Linked DNA regions of Canis lupus familiaris. The protein of the gene in region 2 interacts with the protein of the main gene of each other region in a pairwise test. Links are inferred from orthologs where the notes say so. Each region holds a gene or a part of one and is shown on either strand. Other genes may lie near its edges.

What was found.
Region 1: the proteins of RELA (region 2) and NFKBIE interact in binary tests that used the Homo sapiens proteins (3 or more experiments, as listed by UniProt). The link is inferred for Canis lupus familiaris from reciprocal best matches to the Homo sapiens genes RELA and NFKBIE.

Annotation. Positions count from the first base shown.
Region 1 is NC_049233.1:12,864,636-12,868,536, forward strand, and holds the start of NFKBIE (NF-kappa-B inhibitor epsilon), read right to left. Parts: upstream 2,513-3,901; 5' UTR 2,382-2,512; coding exon 2,014-2,381; exon of another isoform or gene 1,725-2,013; intron 1-1,724. UniProt on the Homo sapiens protein: Sequesters NF-kappa-B transcription factor complexes in the cytoplasm, thereby inhibiting their activity. Sequestered complexes include NFKB1-RELA (p50-p65) and NFKB1-REL (p50-c-Rel) complexes.
Region 2 is NC_049239.1:52,050,902-52,054,802, reverse strand, and holds the start of RELA (transcription factor p65), read right to left. Parts: upstream 2,752-3,901; 5' UTR 2,737-2,751; coding exon 2,667-2,736; intron 2,436-2,666; coding exon 2,409-2,435; intron 2,326-2,408; coding exon 2,153-2,325; intron 2,013-2,152; coding exon 1,864-2,012; intron 1,240-1,863; coding exon 1,148-1,239; intron 583-1,147; coding exon 451-582; intron 1-450. UniProt on the Homo sapiens protein: NF-kappa-B is a pleiotropic transcription factor present in almost all cell types and is the endpoint of a series of signal transduction events that are initiated by a vast array of stimuli related to many biological processes such as inflammation, immunity, differentiation, cell growth, tumorigenesis and apoptosis.

The DNA.
Region 1 (3,901 bases), on a different chromosome or scaffold from region 2:
CTCAATGTTACACATTCCAGGGGAGAGAAAAGAGAAGCTCTTGGAAGTGGAGCAAGGAGACAGCGAGGCATCCTGTCCTGCTGCCCATCCCAGAGGAATCAGAAAGGCCACTCTTCACACAGAAGGGACTGGGTGGGGCCTGACCAGAGGCCCTCTGCTCTGCATATGCTTCCAAGGGGAGGTCTGTGGTGTGCAGAAAATGTGTGTCTGTTGGGGGCCAAAGAGCCTTCACCTCTTGCTAGGGTGGGAGGGGGCAGCTGGGAGGGGAAGTTCCAGTCCTGGGGTTTCCCCACATCAGGTGGGGAAAATGAAAGCCAGAGCTAGAAGGTGGAGGCCAGGACAGCTGCCTTGGGGCATTTACTGCCCTGAAGGGGTAGTTTGGGTAAAGGCCTCTCTGGGCCCTGGAGGGGGCTGCTCAGGCCAGAGGAGGGTAAGGCTTGGTGGCAGGAGAGGCCCAGGAGAGAGTGGCGGAGGGAGGGAGGGCGGAGGAACCGCTCTGGAAATCCCCTCGGCCAGGGCCTGTTCTGTAGGTCACATTCCTGCAGCCACCTCCCTCTCTCCCTGTCTCCCCTCCTCCCACTTCCTCTTTCCACTTCCAGAAGGCCAGACACCTCTGAGGGAAGAGAGTGCCCCCTCCTCTCTTGGGACCTCCTGGGAAGTCCTGCCACCTCTTCTCCACCTCCCCCTGCCTCCTCTAAACACACCTGTCTCTAACTAGGTAAAGGCTGCAGCTGAGAGGCTGACAAAGGACAGCAGGGTCAGAAGTCTCCAATCCCTAGGCCAAAGGTCAGTCATAGGTATCCACATGGAGCGCCCCCCCCCCCCGCCCCCCCGCCCCATCTTGATTCTGTGCCTGAGGGCTGGTGATCTGGGCAGGTTACAAAAAGGCCTGGGGTCATTCCTGTCCCACCCACTGGGTCCACTGGCTATCTTTGTCAAAGGCTACCCAGGATTAGGACCTTCCCATCTCCAAAAAGCAGGTCAGGACAGATAACTCCAGCCTCCTCTACTCTCCCCACCCCTATTCGTTCCAGGATCCCTGATCTGGGACCCCAGCCCGCCCCACTCTGTTTCTCACCCCCAAATCCCAGCCACCTCCTCACCTGACACTGTTTCTTCTCCCTAAGGGGCAAATCTTCAAATGGCCAGTCCCTTCTACACAAAGTGCTTCTCTTACTTAAATTGCCTGTCCCCGCCCCCACCCCCACAGCCGCCAGGCCCAATCCCCACCAAACTTCATCTGGGCCCAAGAGAGGGAGGGTAAAATAAGGGAATCAGACAGGACAGTGAGGGGGACTTGGGGGATTCAGGAGGTGGAGGGTGTCGGTAAAGCTGACTCTAGCCCTCACTTCCCCTTTCAGAGCAGAGAAGGAAGTAAGCTGGGCAGCCAGCCGCCTGTCTGTCTGTCTGCTGGGGCAAGAGTGCCCCAGCCTGGCTCACCCCCTCTTCCTCACAGCTAGCCTCAGCTCTGCACCCTGGCAGCACCCTCATCCTAAGCTTCCTGACCGCCCCCCCCCCCCCCCACTCCTGCACTGGCAACCTGTAACTGGCACCTTTTGTTTCTTGACACAGGGTATTCTGAGGTCAGGGGCTGGGAATCCCAGATATTGAGCAAACAAAGATGCCTTCTCCCCCAGCAAGAAAAAAAAAACAAAAAAAACCTGGACTGGTCAGGGGACTTTTCCCTTCCAAGGGGCGGGTTACTGGGAGGTTTCCAAGCTGCTGGCTGGGGTTCCAGGTGTCTGGTAAGGGCCCTGTCAGCTGTGCCCAGCTCCCAAAGGGAGGGCAGAGAGATGATGCCAGGGCCTCCGGTCCGGGGCTGGCCAGAGCTCAAGAGCGGGCTGGGAGTGAAGCCTGGAGTTTGGAGGAGAGAGTGGGGACTGCCCCTTCCAGCGACCGTGTCGTGAGGGATCCGCACAGAGTGGGCCCCCGGCCTGCTGAGGATCCCGCAGGCCAGGGCTGAGCACTGATCGGAAGGGGTCCCCGCACAGCCTCGACAGACCCCATACTCACGTGTCTCCATCCTCGGAGATGTAGGTGAGCGCTTCCAGCTGCTGAGGGCTCAGCGCCCCCGCGGCCGGGAGCGGCGAGCGCGGGGCCGGGTCCTCGGCCTCCGGGCCCCCCAGCAAGGGCAGGGGCTCGGTGAGCGACGAGGAGCCGTAGGTGGAGTCGGTCCGCTCCGCGTCCGTGTCCTCCTTCTCGCGTGGCCCCTCGGCTGTTCCCGGAGGATGGGTCCAGGGCTGGGGGCCGCCGCCATCCGAGGGCCTGGAGGCTGGGGCCGGGGTGGGCTCGGGCAGGGAGCGCAGAGAGCGCAGGGACTCGATGCCCGAATCATACTGGCTCTCGTCTGTCTCGTCCGGCCCCTTCCGCGCCTCCGACATGCCAGGGGTGCTGGCCCGCGGGGGCTGGGGCCGAGCGGGATCCGGCTCCGGGCTCCGGGCTCCGGGCTCCGCCGCGCCGCCTTTCCGGGTTGCAGGTCCGCCTCGCAGAGCTGGCGCCCGGCCCGGGGTGGCCTCCTGCCCGGACTGCGGGGGCCCGAGGGGTCGGCGGGCGGCGCGGGCGAGGCTCGCAGCGCCGGCGGCTTCCACGGCAGCGGCTACTCCGGCCGCCGCACTGCCCAGTCGGACCCGCTCCCTCGCCCCGCCCCGGCCCCGCCCCGGCCCCGCCCCCGGCAGGCGCTTCCGGGCCGAGGCCCCGCCCCCCGGAATCCCCCTTGCCCCGCCCCCCGCGTTGGCTTCCACTCCGGGGTTACCCGGTCCTGAGTCACTCGTGCGTTAATTTACCCGTTCATCCATCCATCCATTTGTCCGACCACCCGCCATCCATCTATTCATTCATATTTCCCCCTTCTTCCTTCTTCAAGTCCATGCATTTTCTTTCTTTCCTTCCCTTCTTCATTTCTTCATTCATTTTTTCCCATTCATTCACTCATTCATTCGTTTTTAAAGGAATATTTATTAATCGTCTGCACAGGCTGCATACCACGCAGGGAGAGCATGTAGGTGATGGGATGGCAAAGCTCTGCTTCCTATCGCCTACCCATTTTTCTCAATTTCTGTGGTTTTCTCATCTATCCGTGCCCAGGAGTTTGGGTAGGGAAAGGGGATACCTATTACCCGTAAACGGGCAGTTCTCCCTTTGGGTCCTGGATAGAGGGTCTCCTGGGTCAACTTCCTAAATCACATAGAACTGGGTGTGAGGATTTTTTTTTAAGATTTATTTATTCATTCATGAAAGAGAGAGAGAGAGAGAGGCAGAGACATAGGCAGAGAGAGAAGCAGGCTCCTCGTAGGGAGACTGATGCGGGACTCCATCTCAGATCCCAGGATCACGACCTGAGCCCAAGACAGGTGCCCGACCGTTGGGCCACCCAGGCGTCCCTTGGTTTTGTTTTTTGAAAGTGAGTTTTCTCAGGCAAGCTCTTGTCTTAAAAAAAAAAAAAAAAAAAAAGCAGAGTGGTCATGTTTTTATTATCTAAAAAAAGCAGGGTGGTCATTCTTCACGAGGATGAAACACTGGTTCCAGGCGGTTACAACATCTGGTTACCCCTAGTGATCAGGGAAGTTTAGTTCCTCATGGTGGGGCCAGGATGGGGAGGCCCCAGACATCCTGGGTCATGCTCTGCTGAGGTCCTCACCACAGCCACAGCCACAATGCCAGCACATCTTTCCTCTTTCCCTGTCCCTCCTTTCCTTGGGCCTAAAGGGCCTACGGAGGTTATAGGCAAGCTCCTCCCCCATGGTGAGCTCCAACCCCATGCCCCATGACTCATCCCCTACTCCAAGTGCCATCAACCCAGGGGCAGCTATGACCTTAGAAGAATCATCCCCAATCATCTCTGGAAAGGAAGAAAACTGGAGTGAGTGTAGACAGCTACTAACCAGCTTTCCTACTACCTTCT
Region 2 (3,901 bases):
CTCCAGGATCATTCCCTGAGCTGAAGGCAGACGCTCAACTGCCAAGCCACCCAGGCGTCCCCATCTGTGAACTTCCTATGAGCTTCATCATTGAAGTACTACTCTGTAACATCATCTTGTTCCCAGGAGTTCATTTCCCAGAGTCGTTAGTACAGTTACGGGCACACCATCCTCCCATCACATATTCCAAGTACCTGTCTTCTATCTGACTTCCTGCCAGCCTTGAAGCTAACACCTTAAGGGCAGATCCAGGTCTTCTTTGTCTCATTAACCGCCCCCCCCCCCAACCCCCACCACAGCCAGCACAGAGCTGGACACAGAAGAGGTGACAAATACACTAGATGCCTGCATGAAGCCAGAGCTCCTCTAGTGGGCCATTCCCCACCAACCCCTTCCTCCTCACAGGCTTGTCCCTCCCTCTACCCTTCCCATGGCTCCTTGGTCACTTACGGTTGTCAAAGATGGGATGGGAGAGGACAGGTGACAAGCGCAGGGGCCTGCCTGCCGGGTCCCGCACTGTCACCTGGAAGCAGAGCCGCACCGCATTCAGGTCATAGTCCCCACGCTGTTCTTCTATGGGAACTGCCACAAGAATAGACGGTCAGGGGACCGGGAGGCGTGGCAGGGGATGAGGGGGGCAGGGAGCTCTGGACCCGGGAGCATTGTCTGAGGGTGTGTCAAACAGTGGGAGTCCTAAAGGAGGAGAGAGAGAAGATTCTAGACCCATCACTGAACTGTGTGACCCACCTGTGCCCCTGGGTGTTATGCCCCCTCACTGGCTCCCAGTTTCCCCAGTGGTAAATGGGAGTGGGTACTGAATGGGCAGCAAAATTCCATCAGTACTAAGAGTCTTGGCCAATAAGGGAGGTGGCTTGGAAGAACCAGAGAGGGTGGGGGTGCTTCGGACAGGTCTCAGCCTTTGCTCCCTCAGCCCTCAACTTGTTTTTTATTTTATTTTATTTTATTTTTTAAATTTATGATAGTCAGGCAGAGAGAGAGAGAGAGGCAGAGACATAGGCAGAGGGAGAAGCAGGCTCCATGCACCGGGAGCCCGACGTGGGATTCGATCCCGGGTCTCCAGGATCGCGCCCTGGGCCAAAGGCAGGCGCCAAACCGCTGCGCCACCCAGGGATCCCTCAGCCCTCACCTTGGAAGGGGTTGTTGTTGGTCTGGATGCGCTGGCTGATGGCCTGCTCCAGGTCCCGCTTCTTTACACACTGGATCCCCAGGTTCTGGAAGCTGAGTCCCTCTCCATGTATTAGTCCCATTGTCTCTGCCCAGTCTGTTCCTCCCTCCCCTCCCCATTCACCAAATCACCACTGTGCTTCCTATTGTGCTGTAAAGAAACCCACTCTTTACCTTGGCTGACAAGCATCTGTGCCCTGCTGCCTGGGCTCCCTACCCTCAGTAACAGCCGCTTCTTTTCTGTTTCCCAAACACCCTAAACTCACCCCCACTTCAAGACCTTTGCATTTGTTCACTCTGCTTGAAATGTTTTTTCCCATGCTTCTCTGCTCTCCTCACTATTCAAGCCTTAACAGAGAGGCTTTTCCTGACCTCCAACTTGCCGACCTTCCCTCCACCAGTGGGCTATTCTTCCAACCTAACTATGTTATTTTCATCAGTGAAGTTACTTTGGGGGTTCAGAGGTTATTAGGGATCCATTCCTATCCCATGGAGCTCATATCTACTTGACAGTTGAGATGCACAGATGATTTCAAGGCAAAGAGAATCTGCTTGCAAAGCTAGAAGTGAAGAATTCTTCCCAGTGTCCAGAATGGAGTAACACTATAACAGCTACACACCCACCCAGCCTCCCGTCTCCTCACCTCACCCCCCATACCCGGCTGGTCAGGAGTTCACCTGTGGATGCAGCGGTCGGGGCAGAGCTCAGCCTCATAGAAGCCATCCCGGCAGTCTTTCCCCACAAGCTCATGGGGATGAGGCCGGTGAGGGGGGTCCTTGGTGACCAGGGAGATGCGAACTGTCCCTGGCCCCGTGTAGCCATTGATCTGTTCAAAGTACAGAGAACTTCTAGAGACTCCGGGAAGTCCAAACCTAACTCCCAGACACTGCACCCAGCCCCACCCCCCACCTGGAGGCGGCAAACCCACCCTGTGCCCCCCACACCACCACTAACAGTCATGCTGACCTTGATGGTGGGGTGGGTCTTGGTGGTGTCTGTGCTCCTCTCGCCCGGGATGCTGCCCGCTGAGCGGCCCTCGCACTTGTAGCGGAAGCGCATGCCCCGCTGCTTGGGTTGCTCGATGATCTCCACATAGGGGCCAGAGGCCTGGGCGGGCTCTGTGGCCAGACCCGGACCAGCTCCAATCAGGCGGCTGCCCTCCTCGCCCCTAACCCCAGGGCACTCCTCCCCCAATCACCGAGAGGGAAGGCGGTCCACTTACCAGCTGGGAAGATGAGGGGAAACAGGTCTGAAAGGGAGGGAGACAAGGATCAGCACAAGCCCCCTTTCCCCCTTTCCGTCCTTACCGGGGAGCGCCTGCTTCCTCACGGAGAGGACAGAGCGCCAGGCTCCCTCCCCGCCAAGGGCACTGGGGCAGGGCCCGCTCCCTGGAACCTGCGGTGAAACTAAGGGGAAGGGGTGAAGAAGGCAGAAACAGCTGTTTCCCGAGGGAAAACTGGCCAGAGCGCCTTCTCCTTACTGAGGGAAACGGAGTCAGAGGCTGTTCTACTTCCAAAAGGAAAACTACGGAGGGCACCCCCACGCCTCATCCTGAGAGCAAACGGAGTCGGATACACTTTCCCCTAACGAGGAAACGAAGTCAGACCTGCGCCCAGGGCCCCGGAGTGAAGCTGGGCCGAAGCTCCCCGCCACCCCGGAGATTACGGAGTCAAGACCCCGCCACCCAGTGGGGAAACTGAGTCAGACCCTTCAAAGCCCGCCCCGCCCCGCGCCACCATCCGGCCGGCCGCTCCCTGCGCAGCACCCGCCGGCGCAGGAAGGGGCGGAAGGCGGCGCGGGGGCTCCCGTCGCCATCCCCGCGGCCCCGACGCGCCCACCCCGCGGGGTCAGAGGGCGCCCTCACCGTCCATGGCTGGGGTCCCGGGGGCGGGGCCGGGGTCGCAGCTGGGCCCGCGGCGCGCGCTACAGCCAAGCCATTCGCCAGAGGCGGAAATGCGCCGCGCGCGCCCGCCGCCGCGTCACTGCCGGGAATCCGGCCGCGCCTGCGCGCTGCGCCACCTCCGCCGCCGCCGCGGCCGCCGCAGCCCCTGCCGCTGCCGCTGCCGCCGCCACCCTGGGGCGGGGCGGGGCGGGGGGCAACTGTGCCCCGCGCCGACGACGGAGAGGCCGCGCGCCGGACGCCACGGCCCGAGGCTGGGGACAGGTTGCGCCGCTCCGGGGACTAAGAGGCTGCTCGTCCCGACGCCGCTCCGGGGCTGGCAGGGCTGCTGGGCTCCCTCCCCGGTCTGGGCTCCGTCTGGAGGGCGGGCCCGGTGATTACTCACAATGTTTTTAGGGGATTTCGGGGGCCCCCTCCCGCTGATCGGAGGAGTTTGGTGATGTCACCGGGCCCGGTCTGGAGCCCAGCCAGGACTGCTGGCTGCGGCCGCCTGCCCTGCGCAGGGAAAGGCCCGGGCCTAATTCGCCCGCAAAGGCCAGGTGACCGAACTCCACGGGGCTTCTGACCGCTAAAGGTGCCTCTTGGTGGTGGTCGCGGCATAAGCATTTTTTAATTAGCCACCCACCGCCGTGGGGGCGAAGGGGGACGACCTGATCTCTCCACCTGGCAGCGCCTGCACCGTGGGCTTTGTGGAGCCTGCTGCTCGAGGGCGACCCAGGTGGCGCCGCGTCTGCTCCCGCTGGCGAGGGGGCACCTGAGGGCTTTTAGGGTTAAGAAGCCTGTGCGTTTACGGTTCCTCCATACTGTCGGCCCTC